Linked DNA regions of Stegostoma tigrinum. The protein of the gene in region 2 interacts with the protein of the main gene of each other region in a pairwise test. Links are inferred from orthologs where the notes say so. Each region holds a gene or a part of one and is shown on either strand. Other genes may lie near its edges. The genes, in order: basic helix-loop-helix ARNT-like protein 1 and epas1b.

Region 1 (16,945 bases), on a different chromosome or scaffold from region 2:
GCGACCACCGCCGCCGCCCGTTCCCGAGCCGGGATGGAAAGGAAGCCCCGATTGGTCGACCCAGGACAAACGAGCCGTCTATGCGAGCTGTACTCCAATTGGTTTAACTTCCGGCTTGTTGATTGGTTTATTGTCCGTTTTTCTAACAGCATCGCCAATCACCGCGTTGTAACGGTTCTGATTGGCCCGCGTCCGACGGCGACCGGGTGTCGACTGGTTCGCCCGAATAGGGCGGGGACAGAATTCCACTTCTCCGAAGGTGCGGCTGGCGGTTCGGTGATCCGATTGGTCAATATGGCAGCCACGCGTGATGATGGACAGGAAGGGGCGGGATACCAATGGATTCAGGTCAGTGGTTACGTCAGTGGCTGGAAGTAGGTCAGTGGAACCTGGGTTGCGATATCAGAGCGGTGGGTGTTTGGTGGCTGTACTGTTGTTGCAGCGACGTTTAGAAGCTGGTGACAAGATAGCACACCCGCAGAGGGGAACGCCTTCCAGCATCCCGTCTATTGCAAGGTGAGTGACCCACTGCCGCAGCTGAAGCTGCAGATATTTCTTGGGCTTGGGCTTGAATACTGTCTCTACATCTGCAGGTTTATCCAGTTTGCACTCACCTGGAACTAGAGCCAATGGATCCCCCCCTCGTCTCACTTCATTTCCCCCCCCCCCCCCAAATCACCGCACACGTACCTCCGACAATGTATTTGCACCTTTGCAGACATTGCTTTCAGTTCGAAAAAGGCAAAAGAAAACAAATCGGAGCACATTCGTGCTTTTTCCCTTCCTGTCTTAACCAATAAGCCATTTTCTCTCTTTTTAACAGTAAACAACTTTCAACTTGCACCGCATCATTCAGAAGCTACTTTGTGCAATCATGCAATTTGCAGTGGTGCAAATGCCCTCTTTTTCTGCCGATTGTGATTTTTGTTCCGTTCTGTGGTCTGAAACGGTGTGAATGTGCGTGTGTGTCTGACTTAGCAGTCATCGGTGCTGGGTTTGCCGACCAAAATCTCTTACTCCCATCAATACTTACATATTGCATCCTTCCTGCTCACTTCGCCTTCGCCATGCTGGCCTTCTGCTGAATAGGCCTAAAATCAGGAATTCCTTCCTTAAAACCTTAAAAGTGCTGCCTGCCTCAGCACTTCTCAAGGCATTTCTGAAAACTTGGATTTTCTGATAGGTGACCAAATGACCTATCTTAATTACTGACATAATTTTCATTTAATACTACTGCTGTGGTGTGCCTTGAAACTTTTTACTCTGTTAAAGATTTTGCATGCGTGCACATTGTTGCAGATCAAAGGGACTTTTTGGATTGGTGTGACAAGAATAAAATGTATGTGCCAAAATCAAAAATAATCAAGTGATGTTGAAAAGTGACTCCATCAGTTTTTAAAAAAATGTGGAAAAGTTTGCATTTGGGATATAGACTTTTTTTAAACTTTATTTCTTTCAAGGGACATGGGTATCCCTGGCAAGGCCTGCTGCCCACGATTGACTCGCCTTGAACTGAGTGGCTTGTTAGGCTATTTCAGAGGGCAGTTAAGAATCAACCACGTCTTTGTAAGTCCGAATCACACGTAGGCTATGTCAGCTAAACAGAGCAGATTTTCTACCCTGGGTAAAAGTTCATTTAAGAGCCTTTTTTTTTGTTTTTGAAAATTGGTGAAAGTTGGTACTGTTTATTATTATTGACACCACTTTTATACGGCAGGTTTATAAACTGAATTCAAATTCTATCAGTTGCAATTGAGGCATTTGAACTTGTGTTCCTTGGAACATTAACTGGAACCTTTGGATTACCAGTCTAGTGACATTGCTGTTATGCCCTTTTGTGATCTGTAGTGTGCTGTGCCTTGTGTTAGAATTGCTTTTCCAACCATGTTTTTCTGATTTTTTTCAACTTGAAAAATGTTAATAGCTATAAATAGCTCTGGAAAATGGCAAATGCCTTATTTTACATGTTTGATCTTCATAAGGTTAATATCATGTTTTGTATGCTTCCACATCCCAACCCCCCTTGCCTGTAAACATTTGAATAGCATTTCATTTACTACATTGTAAACTTCAGCTGCTTTGACCTAATAACCTGGAATATGTCCTCTAAACATGTTCAGTTTCATGCCACTTCTCTTTTAAAATGCTGTAAAGCCTGTATTTGATGAGGATTTTGGTCCCATGTCATTGATAACTCACTGCGTGGTTTTGTATGAAGCACTTTATAATGTCCTACCATTGTTATTAAGTATGTTTCTTGTATTTGGGGCTGGTATTCTAAGACTGTGTTGTGCAATTCTGCTCATTTTGCATTGTGATCTGAAAATATATTATTTTGAATTATTTATGGTTATTGGTTATGGATATTTGGTATTTATGGTTCATACTTTGTACAAGGTGCATCTTTGCTGCTAATGCCTACCTTAGCATTTATATCCGGTCTTTGTATTTCTGTACGAAACACCTTGTAACCTTCTGTGTGTCAAACTATTTCACAATCATGGTGCAATCAGAAATGTTCTGATTTCTGTATGTGTTAACCGAGTGGGATTTTTCCTCTCGTTTCTATGTTATTGATATTGTAATAGTGTCCTCTGACCAGCTTCTGCAAGAGAACATTCACAATTTCTGTTCTAATAGTGATTGAAGAGAAATATTTTTTATTACATCTGAAGTACTTCCACACCCTGCTAAACAAAACACTGGTCATCTTGTTAAAGATTAAAGTCATATTTCTAAACAGTTTAAAATTTGTCTGTCTGTGTATCAACCTTAATCAGAGGAGATCATTTCAGCTAGTCCATCATATTTCAAAGAAGTTATTTGAAGAAGGTAAATTTCTGCTTGCTTTGTACAGTTTCCCTCCCTGTACCCTCAAACAAGACTGGGCACTCAAGCAAGTTCAAGGTGGTCTTAGTTATGGCCATTAGGGGCTGCAGTCAGTCATTGTTACTTGACGTAAGCTAAGGTGTGTTTTAGTTTCTGGGACAAAATCTGGAAATCTGAAGTCTTCTGCAAAGGGAATTTCTAAAGCAGTTTGAGTTGTGACCTTAAAAGGTGCAGAAAATGTTCACAGTCAAATATCCATAACCACAATAAAAAACACTGATACAGTGCTTTCGTGGCAATTGAGCTCTTTACAGATAGGTTTTAAAGTGTAGTTGCTGGTTTAATGTAGGCAAAATGACAGGCTATTTGTGCACAGCAAAAATCCACAAACAGCAATGTGATAATGAGCAAGTAACCTGTTTTGGCGAAATGATTTGAGGAATGGATATTGGCCAGGACATGGGGGAGAATTGTTTTGCTGTTCAAAATGATTTGACGTTTACCCAAGCAGACAGGTTAATGACCCATCCAAAAGGGACCATATCTCAGTTCTTTGCTGGAGTGTCAGCCTTACTTTTTGTTCTCAAGCCCTAATCTGGACATGGAATTTGGCGGCAAGGATATGACCCACAGAATCAGAGGTGACACCGATCTCTGGAGGGTGCGTGACTACACAGTCTTTAAAATAGATCGAGGTGTCACTAGAGTAAAGGTTTTTAAAATTTATTTTGTGCAATATCAGAGGGTAGATGTAGAGAAGATGTTTCCACTTGTGGACAGCAGAACTAAGGCCATATTTATAAGATAGTCACTTATAAAACTAATACAGAACTTACGAGAAACGTCTTTATCTAGACACACGTGGAATTCCCTCGCGAAAAGGGCATTTAGTGGAATATAAGCACAGTACATGTGATTAGGAGTATATTTCTCTGCTGTTCAGCCTGCTGTGTTCCAGATGATCCTAACATGGTAAACATATGAGGGAGAAAGGAATAGAATGACATATTGATATGGAGGAGTTTCTAATGGCTCACAACACTAGCATGGACCATTTGGGCTTACTGGCCTTTTGAGCTGTAAATTCTATGTCATTACATGTTTTTCTGTGGAAGGTCAGTTATTAATCCTAGTCCCACACTATATCAACTCAATCACCACCTCCCCAAGATTGCTTCTCCTAGCAGTGCTTCCTCTGGCCACTTCCTTCAGCTGTTGCACTTTTCTATGTAAGTAGCCTGTGCATTTTACTTTTTAACCACTTGAGAATTAAAAAAAACAAATACAAGAGGTCGGAGTAGACTGCAAAGCCTGTACTGTCATTAGTAACATCATGGCAGATCTTGGACATCAACTCCACTTTCCCATTCACTCCACAGATCCCTGGATTCTGAGAGATTTATATTTATTGTTTTCTTTTTGATTATAGCAGAACGACTTTCCCATTGCTAAAATTTACTGTAACTTTCCTTTGTGTTTTTTATTCTTTCTTTTAAACACTAATCACCACCAGTAACTGCACGTGTAGTTAATTAAATATTTATATGCAAAGCCCATTATGGACAATGTGAACGATCAAAAGTGAGGGAGAGAGGGAAGGTGCTAAGAGATTTGCCATTATTTAACATCTTTCTTGACTTCAGGGAATTCTAAGGCACTTTACAGCTGATGAAGTATTTTTATAGCCATTGTTATATCATGTGATTTGTGTGCAGCCCCCTCCCACAAACAGCGTTGTTATAATGATGAGAGAGTTTTGGTGAATTTGGTAAAGGGAAGAGTATTGCCTTCCTAAATTCTTACTGGACTAACGTCCTGAATCTTTTGCATTCAACAAGAATGTTGCTTTAAAGCATATCCTGTAATGATTGGGACCTTAAAGTGAGTATTCCTTCAGTACTGCACTGGGAATGTTACTGTCTTTTGAATGGAGTTGGACCCACAGTTTTCTAATTCAAAGCTAAGAGTGTTATTCGTTTAGCTGCAGCTGATCTGCAGGATTGATGAGCCTCGATTTGAATTGTGTAAACCCAAAACATAAATGTTTCCTGCATCTCTGCTGCCTGACCTGCTGTATTCCTTCAGCTCCACGCAGTGTTGAGTCCTGAAAGATGTTGCAGCTTCCTGCTCCAGTTTGTTTTGTTAAGAAGTTGAATGATATAGTGTGGTGAGGGAAATCGTAGTGCCAGATGAATTGACATAAAAGTTATCTCTAAGATATTTGTATTAATATTATGCATTAACATTGCCAACCCTCAGTACTGTTTTCCAGTGATGCCCATTGCTTCCATTTTGCCGAGCAATTTCTTATCCATTTTTCTGGTTTTCCTGAGTATTCATATTTATGAAGGCAGTGAATAATTTGAATTCTGGATGTGTGGGCAAGTTTGATGTGGGAGTCGGAATGTCATTCTGAAGAAAAAAAGCTGCACGTTAAGTTCAAAGATGAGCTGCATTTGATATTTTCAGGGAAATGCTTGTAAGCTGAGAAATGTTCCCATTAGTTATGATGTTTGATGTCAGCCATGGCTCAGGAGGTTACCACCACCCCCCCCCCCCCCGGCTCCTGAGTCGATAGGTCACTCCCCGGAGATTTATGAATACAAACATCTTGCACATTTGTACTGACAGAATGCAGCGCTTTTGGAGGTTTCATCTTTAAGAGGACACTCGCGGCCTCTGCCTCTCGGGTGGGGGAATAAATTCCATGGCATGTTTCCAGGAGCCGCATGAGCATGCTCCCTGTTGTCCTGACCAATAGTTTAACACTCAAGCAGTGCTTACAAATGCAGAAGGCTGATTATCACAGTGCTTTTTGTAGAAACTTGCTGTGTGCAAATTGACTTCTGTATTTCCTACATTGCAACATTTCTGTCATAAATACAAATTTGAAAAACTGGGCTCCAAGGATTGGGGAAATTCTGTTCCACCATGGACTTTAATTTGCAAATGTCCTGTGGTTGTTAGGATTAGGCACTATCTCTCTCCCTAGTTACTGCCCCACTTATTTGACTCCTGTACCTACTTGTGAAAGCACTGATTAGTCGTTGATTTTTTTCCAATATGTAATAATCTGAGAACTGCTGAATGTCTTTCCTTTGCTTGCAGCGCATGTCTACATCATGAAAGCTTGCGCACATCACAAGGTAGTTGTTAAAAGTGAATGAGATTAAGCATAGACTTTACATTTCTTTAGGTATTTCACGCTTCCAGTATTATCTGCAATCATCTTGCTTCCCTTTTAACAGAGCTTCTTTGAAATTGTTGCTCATAGGAACAGCATGAAGTTGTCCAGCCCCCAAAGCTGTTCTATTGTCCAATTGCATAAGAGCCTCTCCTGTAAGCTTCATTTATTCTTATCCAACAAAATCTAACTGTCTCTGTTTTGACATTATGAATGGACCCCCACCAGGCCCAGCACCCTTTAGAGGTGAATTCTGAGTTTCTACTGCCCCTATTTTTTATTCTTTTGAAGTGAATCCTCCTGCTTCACCTCTAAATGAACTGGTTTAAGTTTTAAGGTGATGCCCCCTTGGCCTGAATTTTCCCCCAGCAAAGGAAATAGGTTTGTAAAGGAAAACCATCAATTTCTTCCAGTATCTGAAACATCTGAAGTACAGCTGTATTGATTTTCTCTGGTCAAGGGAATTCAGACCTGGCCTATTGTCATAATTTAGTATCATTCTGATGAATCAGTGCTCCTTCCCGGGCAAATGGATTCATTCTGAAGTACAGTGCTTCTAATGGAATCTACACTGAGTTCTCTCTAAATTCCATCATAATGTCAACATTTGTATTTCAGGCCCTTGGAGACAAGAAACAAAATTGATGAAAATGTCATTTTTTGTACTACTCTGAAACATTTAATGATTTCTGTGCACCCCAAATCTCACTGTTCTCCAAGTCTTCACTAAGTTACTGTATCAAATATTTTCATAAATGCTGCCTCCAAAAGGTTACTCGCCAGCCTTTTCTAACCATTTTTTTCCAGATAGACTTGAACTCTTAATTCTGGTAATATGTTTGTATAACTTTAGTTTTGCAACTTCCCTGGGGCCTGTTAATCTAATTTTATAATGCAGAGGTCTCTGCATAGTACTCTACATGTGATCTAACAAAGTCTTGATGCCAGCTTAACACATCTTCTCTGCTTTTTAGTTGTCTTCTTGGAAATGAACCTCAGTGCTTTGTTTCCTTTTTCCATGGGCCCCCTTATCCTGCTTTGCTACTTTTACTGATTCTTTTTTTCTTGTGTATCTAGACTGAACTGTGTCATAGGGCTCTGTCCTTGGGCCTCTACTGTTTGTAATTTTTATTAATGACTTGGACGAGGGAATTGAAGGATGGGTCAGCAAGTTTGCAGACGACACAAAGGTCGGAGGTGTCGTTGACAGTGTAGAGGGCTGTTGTAGGCTGCAGCGGGACATTGACAGGATGCAGAGATGGGCTGAGAGGTGGCAGATGGAGTTCAACCTGGATAAATGCGAGGTGATGCATTTTGGAAGGTCGAATTTGAAAGCTGAGTACAGGATTAAGGATAGGATTCTTGGCAGCGTGGAGGAACAGAGGGATCTTGGTGTGCAGATACATAGATCCCTTAAAATGGCCACCCAAGTGGACAGGGTTGTTAAGAAAGCATATGGTGTTTAGGCTTTCATTAACAGGGGGATTGAGTTTAAGAGTCGTGAGATCTTGTTGCAGCTCTATAAAACTTTGGTTAGACCGCACTTGGAATACTGCGTCCAGTTCTGGTCGCCCTATTATAGGAAAGATGTGGATGCTTTGGAGAGGGTTCAGAAGAGGTTTACCAGGATGCTGCCTGGACTGGAGGGCTTATCTTATGAAGAGAGGTTGACTGAGCTCGGTCTCTTTTCATTGGAGAAAAGGAGGAGGAGAGGGGACCTAATTGAGGTATACAAGATAATGAGAGGCATAGATAGAGTTGATAGCCAGAGACTATTTCCCAGAGCAGAAATGGCTAGCACGAGGGGTCATAGTTTTAAGCTGGTTGGTGGAAAGTATAGAGGGGATGTCAGAGGCAGGTTCTTTACGCAGAGAGTTGTGAGAGCATGGAATGCATTGCCAGCAGCAGTTGTGGAAGCAAGGTGATTGGGGTCATTTAAGAGACTGCTGGACATGTATATGGTTACAGAAATTTGAGGGTGCATACATGAGGATCAATGGTCGGCACAACATTGTGGGCTGAAGGGCCTGTTCTGTGCTGTACTGTTCTATGTTCTATGTTCTATATCTTTGAGTGTAACATCACCTGTCAAAGCTCATTGTGTGAGACAAGGGTTAATTTAGCAGTGATGGTGGCACTGATTCTTTCCTGAGCAGCTGATTCATCTGACCTACTTTAGGACTGACCTTGATTTATTGCTCAGTAGAGGTGTTAGCCCCACGATATAATCAGCTTTGGTGTATGATTAAGCCAGTCATGTGACTGCTCCTTCAACAATCGAGCGATGAGAAAATCAGGCCTTGCTGCGTGAGTTCCCTTTTGCAAGTCTGCTGAAGGTTTGATTGCTGTGTGAATTAGCAGAAAGAGAAGGGACAGCCTATGAGATAAACTGTAGCGTTTCCACGGCACCACAGTTGGCATTTGCTCAGATTTCACAAAAGAAGTCGCCTGTATGGCATGTATTCAGACGGCCTTTAATGTATCTTGGCAACACAAATGGCTCTGGTAATTAGTTTTTTTTAAACTTCCTCCAAGCTCCCTGGCATATTGTTATTCAGAATCCATATTGAGTGTGTATAGCTTATGCAAGAACTTTTGAGTACTGCCGTAGTAATACCATAAACTTAGTGTACGAAGCTGTCCTGAAACATGCGTTGACATCATAAATACAGGTGTTTGATTCAATTGCTATGAGGTTAACTTGAACCATAACAATGCGCATATGTGAATGCTGAAAATATGAAGTTTAATCATTCTTTCAACAACATTTTTCTTGGGATGTGTGTGGATGGTATGTCCAGCATTTATTGCTCCTCCTCAGTTATCCCTAGTGGTGATAACTGCTGCCTTGAACCATTGCAGTCCATGGAGTGAAGGTGCTCGAATAGTAGATAACAAAGTGTGGAGCTGGATGAACACAGCAGGCCAAGCAGAATCTTAGGAGCACAAAAGCTGATGTTTTGGGCCTAGACCCTTCTTCAGAAAAGGTGCTCGAATAGTATTGCCTGACAGAGAGTTCGATGATTTTGACTTTGCAATGATGAAAGAGCAGCAATACACAGCAAAGCCACAATGGTGTGTGACTTGGTATTCCCATATATTTGCTGGTCTTGTCTCTCCAGGTTGTGGAGGTCATGGTTTTGGGGGAACCTGTAAAATCTATACGTCTAACTATGGTTTTATGGTCTGTTTCTGAGTTCACTTCCTTTGCAGTAATAAAGTGTAGTTTTTTTCCAAATATCATTAACTGTTGCATTATATGAACAGCCAACTTCTTTTTCTTTGTAATCAACTATCCTCTTGAATGAGACAAGTAATTTCTTCAGCCAGAGGCTGGTAAATCCATGGAACCCATTTTAGCAGAACACTGTTGAGGACAGGTCATTGAGTGTATTAAAGACGACAGATAGGTTCTTGATCAGTAAGGGGATCAAAAGTTATGGAAAGGAGGCCGGAGAATGGAGTAGAGACACATCAGCCACGATTGAATGTTGGAGCAGATTCAGTGGGCTAAATGGCCTAATTCTGCTCCAATATCTAATGGTCTTATGCATGTCAGCTCTCTTTTTGTCTTATTTTCCCTTCACTTCTGAGCCAGTTGTTCTATGTGCAAACAGCTTTTGTTGTTTTTTATCTTCTCCTTTGGTTGATATTCTCACTGTCAAACTCTGATTGGATTCCCCATTGCACTTGTCGACTAGAACTTGGTTGATTATCTCTTGGCAAGAGATGAATTTCCCAGAAATCTTCTGGAAAAGGAGGATAAGAATGGTGTTTGTCGTTACATCCGTCATCCAGCTGTGCAAAGTAGTCCACACGTCCCTCCCTCCAGTCTGGTTAGATATGGTGGATTAACCTCTGTTGGTGCCCACCTTCTTGGACCAGTTCTGATTGATACTTATTGTTCAATCTGGGGAGAACAGTACCTGTTTTCAAAGTCTGCAGCATTATAATCAGTTGTAGGACATCCTCTTAAAATGAATAGTTGTTTCCCCGCATAGTGAGGGAACTTCCTGTGTAGTAGGTTAACAATAATGTAGTCTTGGTGAAATTCACAAATCACCAGAATTTCCCAGTTTAATCTTCAGGATAGAAATGTGAGCCACCTCGTAGAAAAAATAACCAGAGGGACAATAAATTTATAGTGGAGGGTGTTGAGGGGACAATCGGGCATAGGAGGAAGAGGGACGAAGGATTCTGAATAAGGTAACGAAATATCTGTTTATTTTGGCTGGCGAGACATAGTACTGCCAAGGTGTGCATGTTGGGTAACTAGTCATGAAAGCTCCAAGAATGGACCCAACCAGACTTTGGTTCAAACAACCTTTTCTATCCTTGCACTCCAACACTGGCCCCTTCCATCAGGTATGAGCCATGTCAAGTTACGTTGAAATCTGGACTAATGATATTGACAATGCAATTTCAGATCCCACCATAGTATTCTGAGAATTAAATTCAATTAAAACAATAATCAGGATATTTTTTAAAAAACTGGCCAGTCAAAGTGTGCATGGACTATTGTAAAAACGTAACTGGTTTATTAAAGGCCTTTAGAACGGAAGGGAACTTGTCATTCTTGCCTTTCTTGGTGTATATGTGACCCCAGTTCAACACTATGGCAGTCCACTCTAGTTGAATGTATTTCAAGAAGCTTAAGCACACGCCCTTTTGCCCCCCCAGTTGCCTTGCCTACAAACTCTAATTCCACACTAACTGCCCTCTGAAATGGTTTGGCAAACCACAGTCATATGCCAACCATGCCAGGGACACCTACATGCTGAGAATGAACCAACAAAATGTTTTGTGCTGCTGTCCTTCATTATTAAAATGGTATCCAGAAGCCTTCAATCTGAATATACTAATTTTCCACAAATTGTCTAATCACTGATTCTGTCCTCACCCTGGTATCTACATGAGGTTTGACCAAGCATTTATGTAGGCTTGGTATCTTGCATGACCCCTAGCTGAGAATTCAGTTTACTATCTCAACAACACCAATGATAATTAGCTTAGAGTTACAGTCATACAGCATGGACACCGACTCTTCATTCCGACCAGTCCGTGGCGACTATAATCTCAAATAAATTTGTCCCATCTGCTTGTGCTTGGTCCATATCCCTCCAAACCTTTCCTATTCATGTACTTATCCAAATGCCTTTTAAGTACTGTGTAACTGAACTCGCATCCATCACTTCGTCTGGAAGCTCATTCCACACGTGAACTATTCTCTGCATTTTTAAAAACAAAAGTTGCCCCTTGTGTCATCTTTAAATCTTCCTCCACTCACCTTAAAAATGTCCCCAGTTCTCGAAACCCCTACCCTAGGGAAAAGACACATGCAATTCACCTTTTTCTATACCCTTCATAATTTTATAAACTGCCATAAGGTCATCTCTCAACCTCCTACACTCCAGTGAAAAAAGCTCCAGCCTGCCCAGACTGTCTTCGTAATATGAACCCTCCATTCCTGGCAACATCCCAGTAAATTTTCTGAATCCCCTCCAGCTTGATAAAATCCTTCCTGTAACGGGACGACGAGACATAGACACAGTACTCCAGAAGAAGCCCTACTGATGTCCTCTACAACCTCAACATGATGTCTACTTCTGCGTTTTATAATGTTGTCTTCATCCTCCCAGCTTCAGCTCATCTGCTGTTGAAGCTGTCAAATGTCTCCCCTCCAGATTTGACTGTTCTGAGCCAATGTTATGCCCTCCTTTGCCTACTTCGCAATAAATTTCATTCATACATCATGTCAGCGCTTGCTGATTGATATGGGTTCTCAGGCTAGCCAAGCATCAATTTTAAAATTCTCTTGTTCTGGTTTGCAAATTTTTCTACAACCTCACCCCTCACTAGCTGTGTAATTTCCTCCAACCCTGCAGTCCTAGATCTCTACACTCCTTTAATACCTGTCTCTTGCATGTTGCCAATTTTAATCACTTCACCATTAATGCTTGCGCCCTGACCCAGCTGGGATATTTCCCTAAAATACTCTTAGTGCAAGTTGTTGTTCATGTCCTTGGTCAATATTTGTCTGTCAATGCCTAAAAATAAATTATTTGATCATTTGCACACTTGTTTGTGAGGAAGTGTGTGTAAGTCACTTGTCACATCTCCTAAGTGAATGTACTTCAATAGAATGTTTTATTCATTTTATAAGCTTTGCAATCATCTCAGGGCTGTGAAAGCCATGATATCAATACAATTTTGGAAGGAAGTGGGACATTGTTTTATGCAGGTAGACCCTAAGGGTAGCTTTGATTCTCCATTCACATTGGAAGATGAGACAATCATTAGATATTTAACAGCAGCATTTGGCTCATGCTAATATTTATGCAGTTGTCAGTTTATTGCCTCATCCAAAAAAATGACACCACTGACAAAACTACACTCCTTCAGTACTTGGTGGAAATATTGATCTAGATTATACACTGTACACCCAGCCTGGCAGGGGATGTGGGTTTTACCAATTTGATTCCTCACATAATACACATTCTTGGTTTCAAGATATTGTGGTTAGGTGATGCCAGGGGAGTCTTGAAGCACTTTTTGGACCTTGGAGCTGAAAGATGCGACAATTGCGTGCCCTGAACACTCCTCATCTAAAATGGATCGCATGATCAATTTGTTTTTTTTCTATGAGGATAGCTGCATATTTTTTGACAGAAGTTGACAGGGGGGTGGGGAATGCATGACAACGAGGTGGTCTGTTGACCTGGAAGGTAATTGTAATTCTGTACTTCACAATGTTCCAGATTGTCCAATGGCAGACCAAAATATGGACATTTCCTCAACAATAAATGATCTTATCTCGTCGGATCCAGCTGGATTAATATTGAGCTCCTTGGGCACAGCAAGCATGGACTTTAACCGGAAGCGCAAAGGAAGTTCAACAGATTATCAGTAAGTTTTTAAATAAGGGTGGCTTTATCTTCGGTTTGACAACTTCTTTGCAACACATCCTCGATTATAAAGAGGGAATTTATTATCCTTTCTTCTAGAATCTAGTTGATTTGTCTTTGCTGCTCAGTCTGTTTTGTCTCTTTGAGATAGGATGGACAATGTTGTAGATGTAGAAAAGAGTGAGGAATGTCAAGTTGATTGCATGGGCATAGGGGCTGTGTAGGATTTGGTATTTGGGAATTTGGAACGATGTAAATATATAAGTTTATTTCAGGCTTTTTTTTTTGTTTGTTTTGACTATTAAGTGGATCATCTCCATTCCAGAACCTTGAGCATTTCACTAAGTTGACATTTCCCTTGCTGGTATCACCGCAATCAGAAATGACAGCTGTAAACGAAAACGTGACTGGAAAAGATTCTAGGTATTATTGTGAAGAAGTGAAAGGAAGCTCTCCCTGGTGTCCTAACCGATTTGAATCCCTCCATCAAAATCTCACACAGAACAAAAACCATCTGGTCGTTGTGCTAATTAGCCACTGTTTCTTATATTGCAACCCTACCTACACTTCAAAAATGACTCTAGGCTGCAAAGCCCTTTGGGATATTGTCAAAGGCACTTTTTTTGGTTTTTCTCTGTGACTCTGTTCTGCTATTTGTTTCTTGGAGAGAATAGCCTGAGGTATTCTTCAGTCACATTTAATTATGGCACAACCAAAGTAATTTATGAAGCTGTTGAAAGTTTTTAAAAGAAGACCATGGCAGCTAAGATGATACCACCACTCTGAGTAGAGGAAACTTAGAATTGGGGAACAGTTTGTTCTGGATGTTAGTTCACAAGTAAGCCATGCCATACCACACCAGACCATTGTCCTGTGTATGTTGCATGAGTAACCTTAAATTTTATAAACTGTGAGATTCTGTTGTCAGAATAATTAATTTTGATTGGTCATTTTTCAAGATTGCATCTTCGATATGTGCAATTTGTTAAGAACTGATGTTAGTCATTCATGGATTCTAGTTTGTAACAATTGGATTGGATGCCAATTATTCCTTTTGTACCCGCACTGATTTTTGATGTAACACTGTCACAGAAGAGCTTTCATTTATATTGTAGTTCTTTTTCTATGTTTCCAAATGCTCTACACCCAAGTACTTTAATTGAAGCATAGCCACTGTTGGTTTTAGATGAAGGACTGGCGATAAGGACATGTTACCTGCCAGGTCTTGGCTGATGTCGTCCAGGATTTTATAAGAAGTAGCTGCTGAGGTAATAAATGCTCTGGCTTCAAGTTTCAAAGACTTGCTACGCTCTAGGAAAGTTTCGCCAGGTTGGAAAATAGTGAACGTAACTCCTCTATTCAAGAAAGAACAGACATAGAAAGCAGGAATCCACTGGCCAGAGCGCTTAGAAACTATCTATGATCAGGCAGAGTCAACATGATTTTATGAAAAGGAACGTGAGTGATTGATATGAGGTAAGTGTGAAGCTGGACGAACGCAGCAGGCCAAACAGCATCAGAGGAGCAAGAAAGTTTGACGTTTCGGGTTGAGACCCTTCTTCAGAAATCGTAGAGGGGAAGGGGATTCTGAAGTAAATAGGGAGAGAGGGGGAGGCAGATAGAAGATGGATAAACGAGAAGATAGAGTGAGATGAGACAGACAGGTCAAAGAGGCAGAGTTAGAGCCAGTGAAGGTGAATGTAGGTGGGAAGTTAGGGAGGACGGACAGGTCAACAAGGCGGGATGAGGTTAGTGGGTAGGAGATGGGGGTGGGTCTTGAGGTAGGTCAGTCCCCACCTACACTCTCTCCTTCACTGGCTCTCACCCCGCCTCTTTGACCTGTCTGTCTCCTCTCACCCTGTCTTCTTTATCCACCTTCTATCCGCCTCCCCCTGTCTCCCTATTTATTTCAGAATCCCCTTCCCCTCCCTCATTTCTAAAGAAGGGTCTCGACCCGAAACGTCAGCGCTCCTGCTCCTCTGATGCTGCTTGGCCTAATGTCTTCATCCAGCTTCACACTGTGTTATCTCAGATTCTCCAGTATCGGCAGTTCCTACTATCTCAGTGATTAATATGTTGGATTTCTCTGAAAAAGTAGCAAACAGCAGGGATAAAGGGGTAGCTGTGAGCTTGCTGTATGTAGATTTCTAGAAGGCATTTGACCAAGCAGCACATTGAAGCTTACTACTCAAAATAAGATCTCATGGCATTGGGAATAACATATTGGCATGGAAAGAGAATTGGTTAGCTAACATAAAATAGAACAGGCACTAACAGATCATTTTTGGGTTTGGCAAGATGTGGTAAGTGGAGTGCCAGGAATCTCAACTTAGATCTCAACTATTTACAATTATTATCAACGAATGGATGAACAAGGAGTGTATGGCTGCTAAATTTCCTGATGACACAAAGACAGGTAGGAAAGTATGTTGTGAGGAGGGCGTAAGGACTTTACAAAGGAATATAGATTGGTTTTGAGTGGGTAAAAATCAGCTAAATGGAGTAAAATGTAGGAAAATGCAAACTCCTCCACGTTGGGAGGAAGAATAGCACAGCATGTTATTTAAATAGAAATTACAGAGCTCTGAGGTGCAGAAGGATCTGGATGTCCTATTCATGAATCAGATAAGTTTAGTGTGCAGGTACAGTAAGTGACTCGAAAGGCAAATAGTGTTGTCATTAATTGCAATGGTAATGAAATATCAAAATAGTGATGTTTTGCTACAGTTGTATGGAGAATTAGTGAGGCCACATTTGGGTACTATGTACTGTTTTAGTCTCCATACTTTTTTTTCAAGAAAAGTATGGAAACTACATTGGAAGTATTTCAGAGAAGTTTTTCATTCAAGTGATACCTTGTTGGGACAGGTTACAGTTTATTTTATGAGGAAAGGTTGGACAGGCTGGCTTTGTATCCTTTCAAAATTTTGAAGAGTAAGATGTGATCTTATTGAAAAATCTTGAAGGTACTTGACAGTGTGGACACTGGGAAGATGTTCCCTCCACAACCAACAACCCCCCCCCGGCCGTGGAGAGACATGAACTAGGGGACACAGGTTCTAAATAGGATGAGGAGAATATATCTATGAAGATCATGAATCTTTGGACCTCTCTTCTGTGGTGGTGCAGGCAGGATTGTTAAATGTTCTCAAGGCAGAACTCTAAATTAATAAGTGAATCAAGCAGTATTGGGAGTATATGGGGAAAGTACAACTGACGCTGTAATCAAATTAGACATGATCTTATTAAATAATGGAAAAAAACTCGAACAGGTTGAATGGCTCATTCCTTCTATTTTGTATGTATGCTGTCGAGCAGAATGCAGTACTGGTGGGTGTAGGAGATTATAAAGGGACATGGTAGATATGCAAAAATATGTTAGTTAAAGTTCAGTGTGAATAAATATAGGTCACTCACTCTGAATCTGAGAAGATAAATTGGCATATTTTCTGAATGGTGCAGCATTAGGAGTTTAAAATGTTAAGGGTATCTGCTAGGGAAAACATGGAGAAACTATTCCTTCTTGAGCAGAATCCAGAACAAGGGCATACAACTCAAACCAGAACAGTTTGCCATTGAGGCAAATCACCGGCCTCTCCTGGAAATGTGGTTACTCCGGAAACTCTTGTCCTGAAATTATTGGGTTCTGATATCAAATAGTTTTAGTTGGAAAAAACCATTCATTCAATCACCATTTTCAATGGGTAACTGTGTTATCTAGCGTTTTTGAGCCATTGTAAATTTGTTTGTCACTGAAGTAAAAGGATCGCTGTCCTTATTTTTCTCCGACTGATGGCTTTTAGTTCGAGGAGTAATGAAGGTGTGAAACAGGCTTGGCTACCTGAAGTGGATGTGTGGTAGGAGTTTGGAGGAGAGAAACAGGATGATGTAATAAGATGTTTTAAATGGACCATTAAATGCCAACACAATAGAGCCTCCTTAACATGGATGAGTCACTTAGTTCTATCAAACCCGAGTGCTGTGTGAGCTGTGACATTTTTATGATCTGTTAAGATTTTGACACACT
Region 2 (16,909 bases):
ATGGAACGCTTTGCCTGCAACGGTAGTAGATTTGCCAACTTTAGGTACATTTAAGTCGTCATTGGACAAGCACATGGACGTACATGGAATAGTGTAGGTTAGATGGGCTTGAGTTCGGTATGACAGGTTGGCACAACATCGAGGGCCGAAGGGCCCGTACTGTGCTGTAATGTTCTATGTTCTATATTCTATGTTTAGCGTGTCCAGGCCATGGTCATATAGTCTTTGAAAAAACATTGACCCTAATACTTTGCAATCTGGAAATTTTCCAAACTGGAATGAAAAAAGGAAGGGAAATAGTTCACTTGCAGAAAGGGCTTTGGAGAGCCACGTGTGAAAAGGTGTATGCTGGAAAGCATCAATTAATTTCTCTCTAGCAAAAGGCCAGAAATGGAAAAGTTTGCTGATGGTTACACAATGTTCAATCTCACTTAGATCTCCTCAGAAACTGAAGGTGGCTTTTCTGAGGAGATTCTTTTCTGCAGGACCCAGACAACTCAACTCTGTCTCCTCAAAACCTGTCTACAAGGTACAAGTCAGGTGTACAATGGAATAATCTCCACTGGCCTGGATGAGTGCTGTGGCAACAAAACTCAAGAATCTCAACAAATTCTGAACACTGAATCTGAATTATCAACAACCTTTCTCCTCCAGCACTCCAACTCCTCCCTCAACTATTGCTTAAATGCTGCCCCTTCCACACTTCATGTCAACTCTGGTGAAGCGTCATCTAGACTTAAAACATTAGCTTGCTTTCTCTCCATGGGTGCTGCCTGATCTCTTGCAGTTTTTGTTTTATGCAAGGCAGAGTAGTCTGCTTGACGGGCATCCCTTCCACCACCTCAAATATTCAGTCTCCCTTTATCACCAGAGTATAGTGGCATACATGAATGTAATCTACTTGATGTAAATATGCTAATACTCCTTCAACAGCATCTTCCAGGCCTAAAATCTGGAATGAAAAGGACAACTGATGCCTGAGAACACCACCACTTGGAAGACCCCCTCTAGGCACATACCATCCTAATTTGTGACCATGGGCTGAATCTTATTATCTTTATAGTGTCATTTTCGTTTAGTTTTATGGAGGATTTCTATCCATGAGGCTAAACAAATTTTCTCATATTATCTGAACTTGCCTGGAAAACTACTCACCATGCTTCTGTTCTGGCTGTCTTGTCCAATGTTTGTCCGTTTTTTCCACTCACTGTAGTTAGAAGTACTCACCACAGTGAGAGTATCTTGAGATCCCTGGTGCCAATGTCATTTTTAAATGGTTGTTGCATGTACACTCAAGAAAGCATTGGCTCTCCAGAGCTGTCCTGCATAGTTCATTGCATTTGCCCCATAGCAGATGAGGGGAAATTGGTTCCCCACTCTTGGCAGGGACCGGGGATCCAGGTGGATGGGTAGTATCCTCTTCTCACAAGACTGCCATAGGAGACCACAACACTAGACTTTCCATTGTAGTGTGTGGTTACCTGCTGGGTCAGTGTAATCTTAGCCCAGCGGTATAGGAAAATGATCAATTTCCTTCTCTGCTCCACCAGAAAGTGCCACCATCTTCTTTCTGCTACCCCATATTCACTCTGTCTCTGCTGCTGCACCCACCTCCCACCAAGGTTTTTCCCTCACTCACTATCACCTACCCAATTCCCCCATACTACTAACCCTGCACAGCCCCTATGGTACCTGTTCACTCCCTTGGGACAGCTCACCAACTTTCCCCAGCTTACGGTGATACTAACATCAGTGCCACCCACTTTCATCTCATTCATTCCTTGCCTTTCTTATATTCTATGAGCAAACAGCCCACAATATAGTAGAAGGAGTTAAGATAGGTGACATTTGGCCCCTCACTTCCTATGAAGAGACAATCGTGACTCTAATTGCCCTGGTGTCTCCTTTGACTTGATTGAGGACTACTCTCTTAAGACTCTGAAACATGGCTACTTACTTAAAATGCATGTGATATGTTTCTATGGATGCTGCTGGTACATGGTGCACATATGGGATTGACAATAGCATGGTGCTATACACCAACATGCCCAAATCCCTTGACTGATCACTGATAGCAGCCATGGCTTCCTGGCGTTGCGTCTGTGTGAAAAGGCAAGTGAAGACTGTGTACTTGTTAGCTCTAACTTAGGGGGCATACCATTGAAAGGGAAAGCAAGAGTGGAATGCTGCAAGCATCATTTATTCATTCACAGGATGTGGGCATCACTGGCTCAGCCAGTATTTATTCCCCAGAGTGCAGTTAAGAGTTAACTGTATTGCTGTCATTCTGGAGCCGTATGTAAGCCAGAACTGCAGTTTCCTTCTATAGAGGGCATTAGTGAACCAGATGGGATTTTCCCAACCATTGAGAATGGCTGCAAGGTTATCACAAGATTCCTAATTCCAGATATTTATTCAATTCAAATTCCACCATCTATCATGGCAGGATTTGAACTGAGGTCCCAGAGCATGGGGTTATTGGATTAATAGGCCCAGTAATAATACCACGAGGCCAACACTAGATGCTAAGTGAGTGAATGCTAAGAAAATGAGCAAGCAGCCCTGAGATGCTCTCCAGTGCAACTGAGAGCTGGCCACCTGGCCTTATGTGGAGAGAATCCTTGCAGCAGCATTCGAATGAGAGGTACCACTGTGCTCCAAACTGAAATACTGAAATGGAGCAGTGTATTGTAAGAGTGTCAGAAATATGCCATGATGGTGTGGAGAGGCTGGCATTTACCAGATGACAGTGCTTTGGATGTGGAGTGTGTGCAGCTCCAGAGGTGTCAGTGGCAGATGAAGGTCCAGAGGAGCAAGTAAAGACTTGCAGTTCCTGTGCCCTTGCCCTGACTTCCATTTCAGGAATTCTCAGCATCCAGTTTCTTTCTGGCAGGTGGCAGAATAAGGGAGTGAAAATGAATGAGGCAAATCTCGTAATAATGAGGGTGATAATGAGCGGTGATCCCCATTAATTGGTCTCTTGCTACTCACTAGTTGGAATCTCAACATCTGAATCTTTGTTGGAAAATGAGACTTATTACTACTGATATTGAGAAAGGCCTAGGCCCGAAACGTCAACTTTTCTGCTCCTGAGATGCTGCTTGGCCTGCTGTGTTCATCCAGCTTCACACTTTGTTATCTTGAGAAAGGCCTTGTTTGGCTTCTCGTGCAATTCTTCCAAGTTTCCCATCACAGCCCACACCTTTCAGGGTCTGGGAAGACTCTGCTGATGATATAGTTCCTTCACCGTCACTGGGTCAACATTCTGCCACTGCCTTCCGTACAGAACAATGGATTCACCTACTAAAAACAGCCAAAAGAACTGTGGATGCTGTAAATCAGGAACAAAAGCAAAGTTGTTGGGAAAGCTCAGCATCTATGAAGGAAAACAACAGAGTTAAAGATTTGGGTCTGGTGACCATTGCTCAGAAGTCTCAAAGGATCACTGGACCTGAAACATTAACTTGGATTCACCTACTAAATGGATTGTAATGATTCAAGAAACCAGCCCACTACCAGCCACTTCAAGGGCAATTAAGAATGGACAATACAGCCTGATCTTGCCAGCTATACTCATCTGCCGAGAATTAATTAAAAATGAAATGTTCCTGTACCTTGCATTGCCGTATTTAAAAGCACAGCTCAACAATTGAATAAACCTGTTACAGAGACTGCAGATGCTGGAGAATCGGTGATAACAAGGTGTAGAGCTGGGTGAACACAGCAGGCCAAGCTGCATCAAAGGAGCAGGAAAGCTGATGTTTTGGGTCGAGACCCTTCCGCAGAAATGGGGAAGGGGAAGGGAATTCAGAAATAAATAGGGAGAGAGGGGAAGGCAGATAGAAGACGGATAAAGGAGAAGATAGGTGGAGAGGAGACAGACAGGTCAAAGAGGTGGGGTTGAAGCCAGTGAAGGTGAATGTAGTTGGGCAGTCAGGGAAGGGATTGGTCAGTCCAGGAAGGATGAACAGTCAAGGAGACGGGATGAGATTAATTGGTAGGACATGGGGGTGGGGCTTGAGGTGGGAGGAATGGTTAGGGAGGCAGGAAAGAGCTGGCCTGGTTTTGGGATGTGGTCGGGGGAGGGGAGGTTTTGAAGCTTGTGAAGTCCACATTGATACCCTTGGGCTGCACGGCTCCCAAGCGAAATTTGAGATGCTGCTCTTGCAGCTTTCGGGTGGCATCATTGTGGCAATGCAGGAGGCCCAGAATGGACATGTCATCCAAGGAGTGGGAAGGGGAGTTGAAATGGTTCATGACTGCGACATGGAGTTGCTTGTTGTGAACCGAGCATAGATGTTCCGCAAAGCAGTTCCCAAGCACCTGCTTGGTTTCCCCAATGTAGAAGAGGTCACGACGGGAACAATGTATGCAGTATACCACATTAGCAGACAGGCGGGTGAGCATCTGTTTGAAGTGAAAGGTCTTTTTAGGGCCTGGGATGGGGGTGAGAGGGGAGGTGTAGGGGCAGGTGTAGCACTTCCTGCGGTTACAGGGAAAAGTGTTGGGGGTGTTGGGGCTGGAGGGGAGTATGGAGCGGACAAGGGAGTCATGGAGGGAGTGGTCCCTCCGGAAAACAGATAAGGGTGGGGAGGGAAAAATGTCTCATGTACCACCCCAACAACCTTCGAATCCAATGCATCATCCTTCGACACTGCCGTCATCTGCAATCTGACCCCACCACAAGACAATTTTCCCTCCCCACCTTTATCTGCTTTCTGGAGGGACCACTCTCTCCGGGACTCCCTTGTCCACTCCACACTCCCCTGCAGCCCCACCACACCCGGCACATTCCCCTGCAACCACAGGAAGTGCTACACCTGCCCCTACCCCTCCACTCTCAGCCCCAACCCAGGCCCTAAGTAGACCTTCCACATCAAACAGATGTTCACCTGCACATTTGCTAATGTGGCATACTATATCCGCTGTTCCTGTTGTGGCCTCTTCTACATTGGAGAAACCAAGTGACGGCTTGGGGACTGCTTTGCAGAACACCTATGCTCAGTTTGCAAAAAACAACTGCATTTCCCAGTCACGAACCATTTCAACTCCCCCTCCCACTCCTTGGATGACATGTCCATTCTGGGCCTCCTGCAGTGCCACAACAATGCCACCCGAAAGCTGCAGGAACAGCATCTCATTTTTCGCTTGACTGCCCTACAGCCCAAGGGCATCAATGTGGACTTCACAAGCTTCAAAATCTCCCCTCCCCCGACCGCATCCCAAAACAAGCCCAGCTTCAAAATCTCCCCTTCCCCCACCGCATCCCTAAACCAGCCCAGTTCATCCCCTCCCCCCACTGCACCACACAACCAGCCCAGCTCTTCCCCTCCACCCACTGCATCCCAAAACCAGTCCAACCTGTCGCTGCCTCCCTAACCTGTTCTTCCTCTCACCCATCCCTTCCTCCCACCCCAAGCCGCACCTCCATCTCCTACCTACTAACCTCATCCCAACTCCTTGACCTGTCTGTCTTCCCTGGACTGACCTATCCCCTCCCTACCTCCCCACCTATAATCTCCTCTCCACCTATCTTCTTTTCTCTCCATCTTCGGTCCGCCTCCCCCTCTCTTCCTATTTATTCCAGAATCCTCACCCCATCCCCCTCTCTGATGAAGGGTCTAGGCCCGAAACGTCAGCTTTTGTGCTCCTGAGATGCTGCTGGGCCTGCTGTGTTCATCCAGCCTCACATTTTATTATCTTAGATTCTCCAGCATCTGCAGTTGCCATTATCACCAGCTCATTCCTGCCTCCCTAACCTGTCCTTCCACGTCAATCTCCACCCCCATCTCCTACCCAGTAACCTCATCGCACCTCCTTGACCTGTCTGTCCTCTCTGGACCAACATATCCCCTCCCTAACTCCCCACCTACATTCACCTTTACTGGCTCCAACCCCACCTCTTTGACCTGTCTGTCTCCTCTACACCTATCCTCTCCTTTATCCATCTTCTATCCGCCACCCCCTCTCTCCCTGTTTATTTCAGAATCCCCTTCCCCTCCCCCATTTCTGAAGAAGGGTCTCGACCTGAAACACCAGCTTTCCTGCTCCTCTGATGCTGCTTTGCCAGCTGTGTTCATGCAGCTCTACACCTAGTTAGCTAAGTGAATAAACCTGACTTGTTTTCAGCACTAAACTCTGGTCTCTGCGTCTGAGAAATGATTGAGTCCTTGGCTTGCTTCAGCTTGTTACCCTGAGACACATGCTACAGCGAGGTCTGATGATCCAAGGAATACAAGTGTTTCCCAATACCTGAATGTATTTAGGCCATGAATATGTGAACGTTATTCACAAATACATGCATTTAAATGAAGAATTAAACTTTTCCTCAACATGCAGGAAGCAATTGTAACCTTGCAGTCAATGCTTTTAAAGGCCTAACTTCATGGTGGTATAGTTAATTCCTTTAATGTTCTTCTCCACACCTAAACTCTATGAAACATTTTCTGGGAATCCTTTAATTCCTGACACTAGTTTTCTTTCCACTATCCATATTGAGGAATCCTATAATTGAACTAAATCTTCACCTTACTGCAACTTGGGAAATAATTCTCAGTCGCTCATCTAAAAATAGCAGTATAACTGCAGCCATAACTTTGTCCTAGAAGCTATTAATAGATGATAAATCAAGATTTATATTATTAAAATTCCCATGATATATGAAGGGATTTCCCAGCTCTTAACTGTTTACTGGAACATTTTTTCCCAGAACTTCAATATTACAGCAGATCATTCAACAGTTACAATACAGATCCTCATTCAAATATTTTTACATACCCTTTCAGGGAGACTCAGTACATCTTTAACTGTTACACTTAATGCCCTTTGTTCTGAAGCACTTTAGTAGCTATCTGGGGAGAACCCAAAACCTTACAGAACAGGCCAAACTCAAAATGTGCCAATCTGCAGTCCTCACTATCCTCCATGAGGCACTGGCTCAAGTGTCCTAAACAGCCAACATGTACATCTTCCAGAGCACTTCGAACAGTGTTGCCTTCATGATATCCTCAGATCCATTAGCAGGACTGTATCAGAAACACTGAAATCCTGGAGACAGCCAGCATCACCAGAATTGAGGCTATCCTTCTGCAAAACCAACTTTGCATTGGTCATGTTGCCTGGATGGACAACAATTGATGGCATAAAATTAGGTTGTACAGAAAGCTATCCATTGTAGCAGGAACAGAAGGGCCCACTTACAACCATTTCTAGTACTGCGTGGGGAAGTCACAATCTATTTATCACACTGACTATTGCTAGTGGGTGGAGTGGGTCATAGATTGTGATGCCTAGACTTGCTTCATCAGGAATGCTACAGCCACCTTTGGAACTGAGCGTAGAATTACCAGGAAAGAGATAAAGAATAGATCCAATTGTCCCCAACAGTGACTACACATTCATTTGCATCTGTGTGGGAGAATTTGCTGGTCACAGATGAGACTGACGCCACCAGCGAATCTGTATCCAATGGATAGTCTTTCCTCACGAAAAATTGCCAAGCGACAGTGGACCTTTGTAAATCGGTCTCGGACTGCAAGTGCTTTGAACCTGAGTGGAAAACAATTCCAACGCAGAATACTTTCTAAAAATATTTCAAACGGATCTCAGAGCAAAGTTTTGGGAAGTAAAAACCGAAAGAAATACAGATGCTGTAAATCAGAAACAAGAACAGAGGTTGCTGGAAAATCTCAGCAGATCTCGCAGCATCTGTGCAGATAAAATCAGGGTTAACGTTTCGGGTCCGATGACCCTTGCCCAAACTCGGACCCGAAATATTAACGCCGATTTTCTCTTCACAGGTGCTGCCAGACCAGCTGAGCTTTTCCAGCAACTTCTGTTTTTGTTTCAAATATTTGATAAGCCTCTCTCTGGTGTAGGAAATATTCAGAGCAGTAGAATAAACCAGGTTGAATTTTGCTGAAATGAAAACCGAAGTATGTTTAGTTTGAAGACTACTAGGTATGTTTTGTTTATCAATTCCAACGCCACCGTTTTCATACTTATTGTGCTGGGAATAAAGTCTTTCAGTTATGTGGTTGGAGAAGTTGGGTTGATCTCCTTGGACAAAAGGTTGAGAGCACATTTGATAGAAATGCTGAAGATCATAAGTGATTAGAAATTACTGGCCAGAAAGGATAAAGAAAGAGGATACTGATTTAAGACAAATGACAATAAGGTCCAAAGTGACGTGAGGGCAATAATTTTTAATTCGCCAATTGGTGAGGACCTGGAATGCACGTCGAGAAATGTGATGAGGACAGATTTCGTTGGGGAATTAGATAAGCAGCTGAGGAGACGGAAGCAATGCAGGGGCAGTGGGGAGGAGCGGGGGCAGGAAGAAAGTGGAGCTGTTGTAGTAGGTTTGACAGAGGTCTAGCACGGAACCCACGGGCCGAATGGCTCTCTGCTGTGCTGTAACCAATCTTCAATTATATAGTATTTAAATACTGATTCTGCGCTGGTGATATTTTTTAAGGAGCACCGATGGGAAATATCTAGGGAGTTCTCTTAACTAGTGTGTTTAGAAAACGTTATCAATTGAGTGAGATCCTCATGAGATGAAGAAGCAACTGGAATCCATCCGAGGACCATGTTGTTTGGCAATTTTTTTATTCCCTTGTCTAGTTTACGTGTAGTCAGGCAATTTCGTCACTAGTATTTCTTTCCAAGGAAATCTTTTAACAGATAAGAACTTGTGAACAAAAAAAATTATGTAACAAGGATGGGTGCTCCTACCCCGTCCGCTCCCAACTGTTCCGGCAGAGAGAGTGGGGAAAAAAGCCCCAAAATGACCCAGATCGATGGGCGGGGCGGGGCCCGGCCGCAACCTATCGCATGTCGAAAATCCATTTACGACCTGTCATCTGGCCCAAGAAGGACGAGAGAGAGAGAGAAACCCCGCCTTCAGCCGAAGCTTGAACCTCCCGCCCCAGTACGAGAGTCTAACAGCGAAACTTTTTCTCCTGCCTGTCCTCTTTATAATTGGTCTTTGCCTCGAAGTGGCTGTACAATCCTCAGCAGTGTTCTGAGACTGTACGGTCGCCTCTCGTTTCCGGGTTGCTTCATGATCTCAACTGTTTGACCCAACTAGGCATTTAAAAAAAAAGAAACCCACATGAAGAGATAAGCGAGAGAGACTGACAAAGCAAAGAAAAAAAAGCTTCGTGAGCAAGGCAGAGAAAGTGGAAACAAAAAAAATCAAATTATGCTTCTTTCTATCCGTATTACACTGTAAAATTGAGCCTCCGGTTGTCAACAGCGCTTCTCGGTCTGTTTTTCTTTTGCTTCTGTGAACTTAATCGTCCAAACCATGACAGCAGAGAAGGAGAAGAAAAGGTAAGAAATGACATTGCATTTGTTCTGATGAAGTTAGCAATAATTTATTTCTGATAAGGTGCGGGCTGATTTTGTCCATATCATTAAAAAGTTCTTGAGGGACTGGACTCCACACCTCCGACATTCGGCGTAAGCTGACAGGAGACGGGAATAGACGAAATGATCAATAATTAACCGTTCTCCTTGTTTTTGATTGGGGCGCTCGGGCTGCGTTCTGAAGTGTTGACAGCTTGCCTGTCTCTCGGAGGCTATCAGCTGCTACCTGCCTGTAGACAGACCTGGCTCTGAGGGCCAGCAATGTTGGCAATACGTCCCTCAAAGCCTTCCCCAAGGGCAAAACCCAGAAGGGAAAAGTTGGCTCAAACTGAGCGAGTGGGCCTGCGCTGTTTAAATAGTGACCTATTGATCGATCAATGTTCTCCTTCACCTGTTTACATTGCCACTGCTGCGCAGTGTATCATCAACAGGCAGGCGAGGCCTGGCCGACAGACTAGAGGGGGCAACTCTGTGGTCGGGCATGTCATCTCCCCGATGGAGAACTCGTACCGAACAGCAACTTTATCGAGGTTATGAAGCTTTTGCTCCCGACTACTATGGTACATTTGCGGCTGCACTAAAAAAAAACCGACATTTCCCCTCCTTCCTCTCTTTCGAGAGAACCTTTGCATTTCGACAGAACACGGAATTTTACAGCAGGACTTTTATAATATAACGGTGTGTTGTTATTTGCAAGGAGAATAATACCCTCAGAAACTAGTCAGCCTGCAAATGGCTATTGCATTCATCTCCAAATGACTAGAGGTCGGCTGGAATTGAGTGTGACAACGCGCCCTGAACGACAGAAGCATCAGACAAGCCTCTGTACAGCCCACATCTGCTGAAGGTTCAACATTGGATAAAAGCAAAAACACAGACATGCAAAACAAAGGATGCATAGATTGCATCCAACACCCCCTCTCCCCAACCCCCGCTCGTGTCCTGGGCATTTGGAGAGAGCTGCTGGTTGCACCTAAGGAGTGACGTTGGGACAATTTGTTGGAGTTGGTGGCTCTGGGTAGTTTTGCTGAGTGAAATGGCGTCCCTGAGGTAGAAAGGACTCACATTGTCAAGGTGCGGCTAGCTACTGTTAATACTTGAGCGATTTCAACAGCAGCTTTACCGTCAGTGTGTGGGTGAAAGGCAGGGTCTGTCCTGAGGCTGGGTTAGAATCAGAAACAGATTAAATGCCAGTTGAAGTTAGACGTAAGCAGAATGTCGAATATGGTACTCTTAATTAAGGAGTTTGCCTGTCCAGAATTACTACTTCGTCGTGAGGGCGGAATCAGGAATGAGATTCACTGTTTGTGATGGCAGTTGACCTTAACCCAGTCCATGCAAGCCCAGTTGGTAGTTAGGAAGGCAAATGCAATGTTACCATTGAAGTGGGTTAGAATACAAGAGTAAAGATGTACTATTGAAGCTGTGCAAGGCTCTGGTCAGACTGCGTTTGGAATATTGTGAGCAGTTTTACTCCCCATACCTAATGAAGGATGTGCTGGTGGTTGAGGGGGTCGAGATGAGATTTACAAGAATCATTCCTGGGGATGAAGGTCTTGTCTTATGAGGAGCAGTTGATGTTTCTGGGTCTTTACATCATGGAGTTTAAAAGGATGGGGGTGGGGTGGGTGGGAACTTGGAGGGGGGATCGCTTATTGAAATTTACAGAATATTGAGAGGCCTGCATAGAATGAACGTGGAGAAGATATTTTCAGGAGTAGAAGAGAGTAGAAACCGAGAGCACAACCGCAGGGGATAGGCCTAAAGAGAAAACCTTTTAGAACTGAGATGAGTAGGAATTTCTTCAGACGAGAGGGTGGTGAATTTGTGGAACTCATTGTCACCAAAGGTTGTGGTGCTGAGTCATTGAGTGTATTTATGACAGCCATAGATAGTAAAGGGATCAAGGAAGGAAGACAGGAGAATGGGAACCAGAAACATATCTGCCGTGATCGAATGGTGAACCAGACTCACTTGGCAGACTGGCCTAATTCTGCTCCTATATCGAATGATCCTCGTCTTATAATGTGTTGACTATACCCCATTTACTAAGCATATCACAACGTTTTGAGGATACAATTTAAAACGGAAATTGGAACAATCATAATGAGAAATTACCTGACAAACGTATGCATTTGAAGAAGCTTCGCTATCCGTAATCTGGGTTGGAAAGCCTCTAAATATTGGGGAGCTGTGTTGCTGGGGTTTGGGTCGTGCCAATCTATTCCAAATAGATAAACCATGAGGAGCGCAATATGTCAACACATTTCTGATAACGCTGGTGTGCTGTTGATGTTTACTGAGTTATAGTCATATGTACAAGGCAACTTTTGTTTAGCCAATAGGCTTTTATTTATTTGACAGTTGCTGTTAGATTTTGCGTTATGAATTGAAAGGCTGTAAAGACTGACTTGTGTCCTCTGCGCATTCCTGACGAAATTCATATGTTCTCAGAGACTGGACAGTCCCGCTTCCAACATTATTTGTAAACGCTTCAATAAAACTGATTTCGAGTCGTGGCGGATTTTTTTTTAACAGGTCAGGACTAGTTTTGGCGTTCACAGAAGAGGGAGAGAGAGAGCAAACGAAACTTTCTCACACTGAGCAGGGACTGTGACTTTTTAGTTTGTTATCCTTTTCTGTTCGATGAGGGCTAATGCTTTCAGTGGCTTGGACAGCAGGTGGTTTATGTTTTGTTCTGTTTTATGCCGGGAAGACCGAACTCCGCAGTTACCTTTAAAGACGGCTGGTTCAGTGCAAGTTACAACACGTTATAACGCCGACATGAGTGATAGGACGATTGTAAGTGAATGTGTTGGGGCCGCTTAGCTCCGATGGTTCCGAGTGTGACAAAGAGTGATGACCGCGGCGTGGGTTCGCTCCCTGAATCGGCGCTTGTGTAGGGAGCCTCTCAAACCCTTATCCAACTCATTCAGTCTCTCTAATTGATAACGAAGACTGGCTAATGTGTCTCAGAGCAAACGGGCCTCAATGCCGGCGTTCAATACGAAGCATCCCCTTGAGAGATTTAAACCTAATTTGTGTTTACTTTCTGTTCAAAATAACTACAGAAATACCACGTCCTGCTTTTTTACATGTAGGAATCCAGAACAAAGTTAGCTAGCAGCAGGAACGCTTTTGGGGCGCTTTCTGACCATGATTCTGACTTTAAAAATCGATTTGAGTAATGAATATATGCAATCTGCAGGTTGTTTCCTTTGTAACACTTTCTACAGAACGCCCTTTGCTGACTCCTGCACACTTGACAACAGCCAAAAAATGGGTTTAAAGTCCAGCTTCATTATGTTTCCAGTCTTGAAAGTAAAGACACTACAGGTCCATTCTGACGTCCCCAAACTCCCCCACACCCCCCAACTCCCACTGACCCGGTGGGGTTCAGTGGACTGTGGGGTGACTAGAATGGTGTTTATTTTGCCTATCCCATGTAAAGGTGCCAAGTTGGAGCGCGTACACCTTACTGAAGTTTTATTATTTTACCACATACCTAACCTGCCACCATAGATGCACCAGAGATAATGGGAACTGCAGATGCTGGAGATTCCGAGATAATAAAATGTAAGGCTGGATGAACACAGCAGGCCAAGCAGTATCTCAGGAGCACAATCAGAGATGAAGGGTCTAGGCCCGAAACGTCAGCTTTTGTGCTCCTGAGATGCTGCTTGGCCTGCTGTGTTCATCCAGCCTTACATTTTATTACCATAGATGCACGTGTATGTTTGTCAATTTTTTTTAAAAAAAATTGAATTATTATCGTCACATGTACATAGGTACAATGAAAAGTTTCGTTTTGCGTGCAGTGCAGGCAGATCAAAGCATACAAGATGTATAAGGGTAATAAAACAGAACGATGAATAAAATGTTACGGCTGCAGAGAAGGTGCATGCAAATATTAGCAAGTTTGCAATTGGGCAGAGAAGGTGCATGCAAATATTAGCAAGTTTGCAATTGGTAATTTGTGCATGAAGACAGGGACAGTCCAGCGTCTAGTCGTCCCTGGAGTGAGATCCACCGTCACTCCTGACCCGTTTAGTTCCAGCTTGAAGCTCGCTATTCCTATGAGCCTGATCAATTCTTTCTCAATATCCTTGTTCAAATAACGGTTGAAAGCGGAGCTTTGAACCCTATGTTTTTAAACATTGAAACATGTTTGCTCGAGACTGAGATTTCTAGCAACTATTCACAGTTTGGCAAATCTGTGGTAGAAGACGCAGTCTCACACACAACTCCCGAAAAGCCGCGGGCCCATCTAAATCACACAGAATAAAATGCCTGTAATCTGTCACTTAAACGTGCGTTCAGAAATTAAACTCTACTATTTTGGAAATCTGAAATGAGAACAAGCAACATCGGGTAGGAAAGATAGCCTGGAGATATTTATATCTCGTCATTCTTGTACATATACTTACAAAGGTTGCACAAACTAAATATATATCTGTATATTCACATATAAATTTTACCCATTTTCTGCTTGAGAATACATCGTTGTGATCAAACTGACCGAAGTGTCGGATTAATATCCGACTTGTTAAAGCTATATTCTGGAGGTTAAATTAAAAACAGATTGTAGTTATTTTGAAAAGGAAATTATTTTCTGGGATGTTGGTAGCCCTGCCCGGGCTGTTTTTGCTGTGTATCCAGAGTTTACCGATAGAGCGGAGTTGTCTCTCATAGCGACTCCAGAGAGGGCGTGAATCGTGGACCGGTGTCAGACTTGAGATGCGTAGCCACTTCCCCTGTTTCAAGGACTTCTACATTTCCTCATTTTAAAAGTTGAAAGCCATACGTACGAGACAGCACCTGTCCACGTCGCATTAATACGGAGAGGTGACATGGGCTTCATAAGGAATGTGTTGAAGTTACACATTGTGTCGTGTCATTTTGGTCAATTGACAGCGTAAGTGCACTGGACTGAAATCTCAGCTGGGAACTGTGTTCATAACAAGCGAGTGACACAAGGATCGCGATTGTGGTGCGGCTCGAGCTGGCCTTCAAGCAAAATTCCATGTTAGGCCTCGTAAATTCACTCTCAACTATCCAAATTTCCCATGCAGATGTTATGTTTGAGAGATAGGCAGTGATCTGCAAGTGGGAGTGAAAGAACGAGGGTCGGCAAAAGTGAATGGCTGCAGTGGTAGCTATTTGGTTGTGAAGCGGATAACAAGTGATCTGCATAAAAACACTCCCATGTTTTCTTATGTTCAGTAGGTGCTAGAATCCCATGATGAGATCACTAAGCTGTTATTTTGAAATATGGACATGTAACAAACAGGTAGATATTTCACAGAAGTGAGCAGCGCACTGCCACCATGTCTCAATGTGCTGGTCCCACAGCAGAATGACTGAGGTTAATAGCCTCAACAATATTTCTTATGTTTAGTATTTCTAAACTTGTTTATATAGAAAAAAATGAGAAATAAACATTTCAAATGAAAGCTAAAGCATAAATGTAGACATTATTATATTTAACATCCTGTAAAATCCTGTGAATGTTGGACATCTGAAATACAAACAGAAATTGCAGTGGAAACACAACATGACTAGTAGCATCTGTCAAGAGAGAAACAGAGTTAATGTTTCAAGTCCAATATCAGTTTTCTTCAGAGCTATTATTGTGTTACTCAACTACGATGACTGCTTTCCAGCTTTAAGATGTGATTGATGCTGTTAGATTCAGCCCAACCAACTTTTCTCTCGAATCAAATAGTGAGGTTGTGATGTTCAGCAGCAATTACACACTTCAACACTCATATGAAATGGTTTTCTTCACTCATTTAAAATGATTGCTTGTAGTTTATGTTGATGAATTAAGTTCCAACTTGATGTGCTTTCAGACCATTCACTTACTTAAATGACCCAGAACATTTTACATGAGAAAAGGCACCGAACAAAGGTTAGGAAGAATTAGGGGAAGAGACCAAAGTTGAAGAGGTAAATCTTAGCCAGACACTTTGAAAAGCAGAAAGAAATAATTAGTTTATGGAGATTATGTAGGAGAGTGACATCATGGAATTTTAGTGAAGTACTAATTCGAAGGGATATAAAGGAGGTCAGAGTTTGAAGAGCAGTCAGCATGTAGAGATAATCACAGAGTGGGGAAAGCATGTGATCAGAGGGTTTTGCAGACCAGGATCGAGTTAGAGGCTGAACAAGTGAGGAGCAGGTTATAAGCATCAGAATTGTGGTAATGTTTTGTATGGTGGAGTTTCCCGTCACACCTGTGTAGGGCATTGATTACTTCTAGTGGTTTTTCTCGTAAACTGGTAAGCTCAGGTTTGTGCACATTTGCATTATTGCTGGAAATACTGATAGGAAGACATTTCAAAAGAAGTGATCCAGGTGACTGAATTGGCCCATGCTAGATCAGACCCAATAACATGGGAGTTATTTGATCCCAGCATTGCTGCTCAGATCTCAGAATGGGATTTTGCAGTAGCAATGGAAGTAATAGTGCTGAAGCGAGGAAATCTGTGTAAACACATTTGTAACATAGATATAACATGCTCAGAGCAATCCTTCCTCTTTAATCTGGCATTTACATATATATTTACACAGATTAAGAAAATGCAAAGCAAAATTAATTTCCATAAAATTAGCTTGCATTAAATTTTACCTTGTGCAATACATGATGCTGCCTTGCTCAGTTTGAAGTTGCCTAAAATGTGTTGCAAGTATTTGTCATTGCCAAGAGTAACAGTTGTATTCCCAGGACATTCCCTGTTTGGAGAGGGGCAAGAAGAGGAAGCGATCTGGGAGCATACTATATTGGGCTTCTGTTCTTATTATTATAAGCCAGCTGGAAATTCAATTTTGTTGGTGCTTTGAACCCATGAACGTGGGACAAATTATACGACAATGGGAGAATTGGCAGCTGTGAGCCTCTTGTGTTTTGTAGACCTCTTTGGTCAGGTCTGCTTAAACTCTTCTGAAAGGAAAAGTTTCATTGCCTGTTCTATCAAACAGCATGATGACCGAGTTGTGACGCATGAAATATACTGGGGCAAGTGAGAAATGTAATTGTGCAGATAAAAAAAAACACAAAAATGTCTGACATATGAAACAAATCTGGAGAAAGCAGGAAATGCACAGCAGATTGGTTAACATTTGATAGAAAAGAGATTGATACTTCAGCCATGGTTCCTGTTTCTTTCTGGAAAATTCTGTCTGATGGACCTGAAGTGACAACAGACTCATGTTTGACTGGAATGTCCAAGTAATGAAATTACTCAATGGCAATCTTTTAGGTTCATACATGAAGGATGACCAAAGTCACCAAGTGAAAAAATACCTCTGAGGAATCAAGAAGGTACATATTTTAAACTAAAAAGATAACACATGAAATGCTGGAATGCTTACAGCATGGCCTTTGCCTGCACTGTGGGAATGATAACAAATTTTCACTCACACTTTTCAAAATCTAATCAATCAATCAATAATAGGAACACTCATCATTCCCTTTTCATGTGATTATAGTTTATGTGTTAGATTTTTTTAACCAATAAGTTTGTCACAACTAGTG

Evidence for each region.
Region 1: the proteins of epas1b (region 2) and basic helix-loop-helix ARNT-like protein 1 interact in binary tests that used the Homo sapiens proteins (3 or more experiments, as listed by UniProt). The link is inferred for Stegostoma tigrinum from reciprocal best matches to the Homo sapiens genes EPAS1 and BMAL1.

What each region holds. Positions count from the first base shown.
Region 1 is NC_081370.1:38,024,436-38,041,380, forward strand, and holds the start of basic helix-loop-helix ARNT-like protein 1, read left to right. Parts: upstream 1-8,287; 5' UTR 8,288-8,490; coding exon 8,491-8,518; intron 8,519-12,771; coding exon 12,772-12,919; intron 12,920-16,945. UniProt on the Homo sapiens protein: Transcriptional activator which forms a core component of the circadian clock.
Region 2 is NC_081362.1:68,834,127-68,851,035, reverse strand, and holds the start of epas1b (endothelial PAS domain-containing protein 1b), read left to right. Parts: upstream 1-8,925; 5' UTR 8,926-9,310; coding exon 9,311-9,336; intron 9,337-16,909.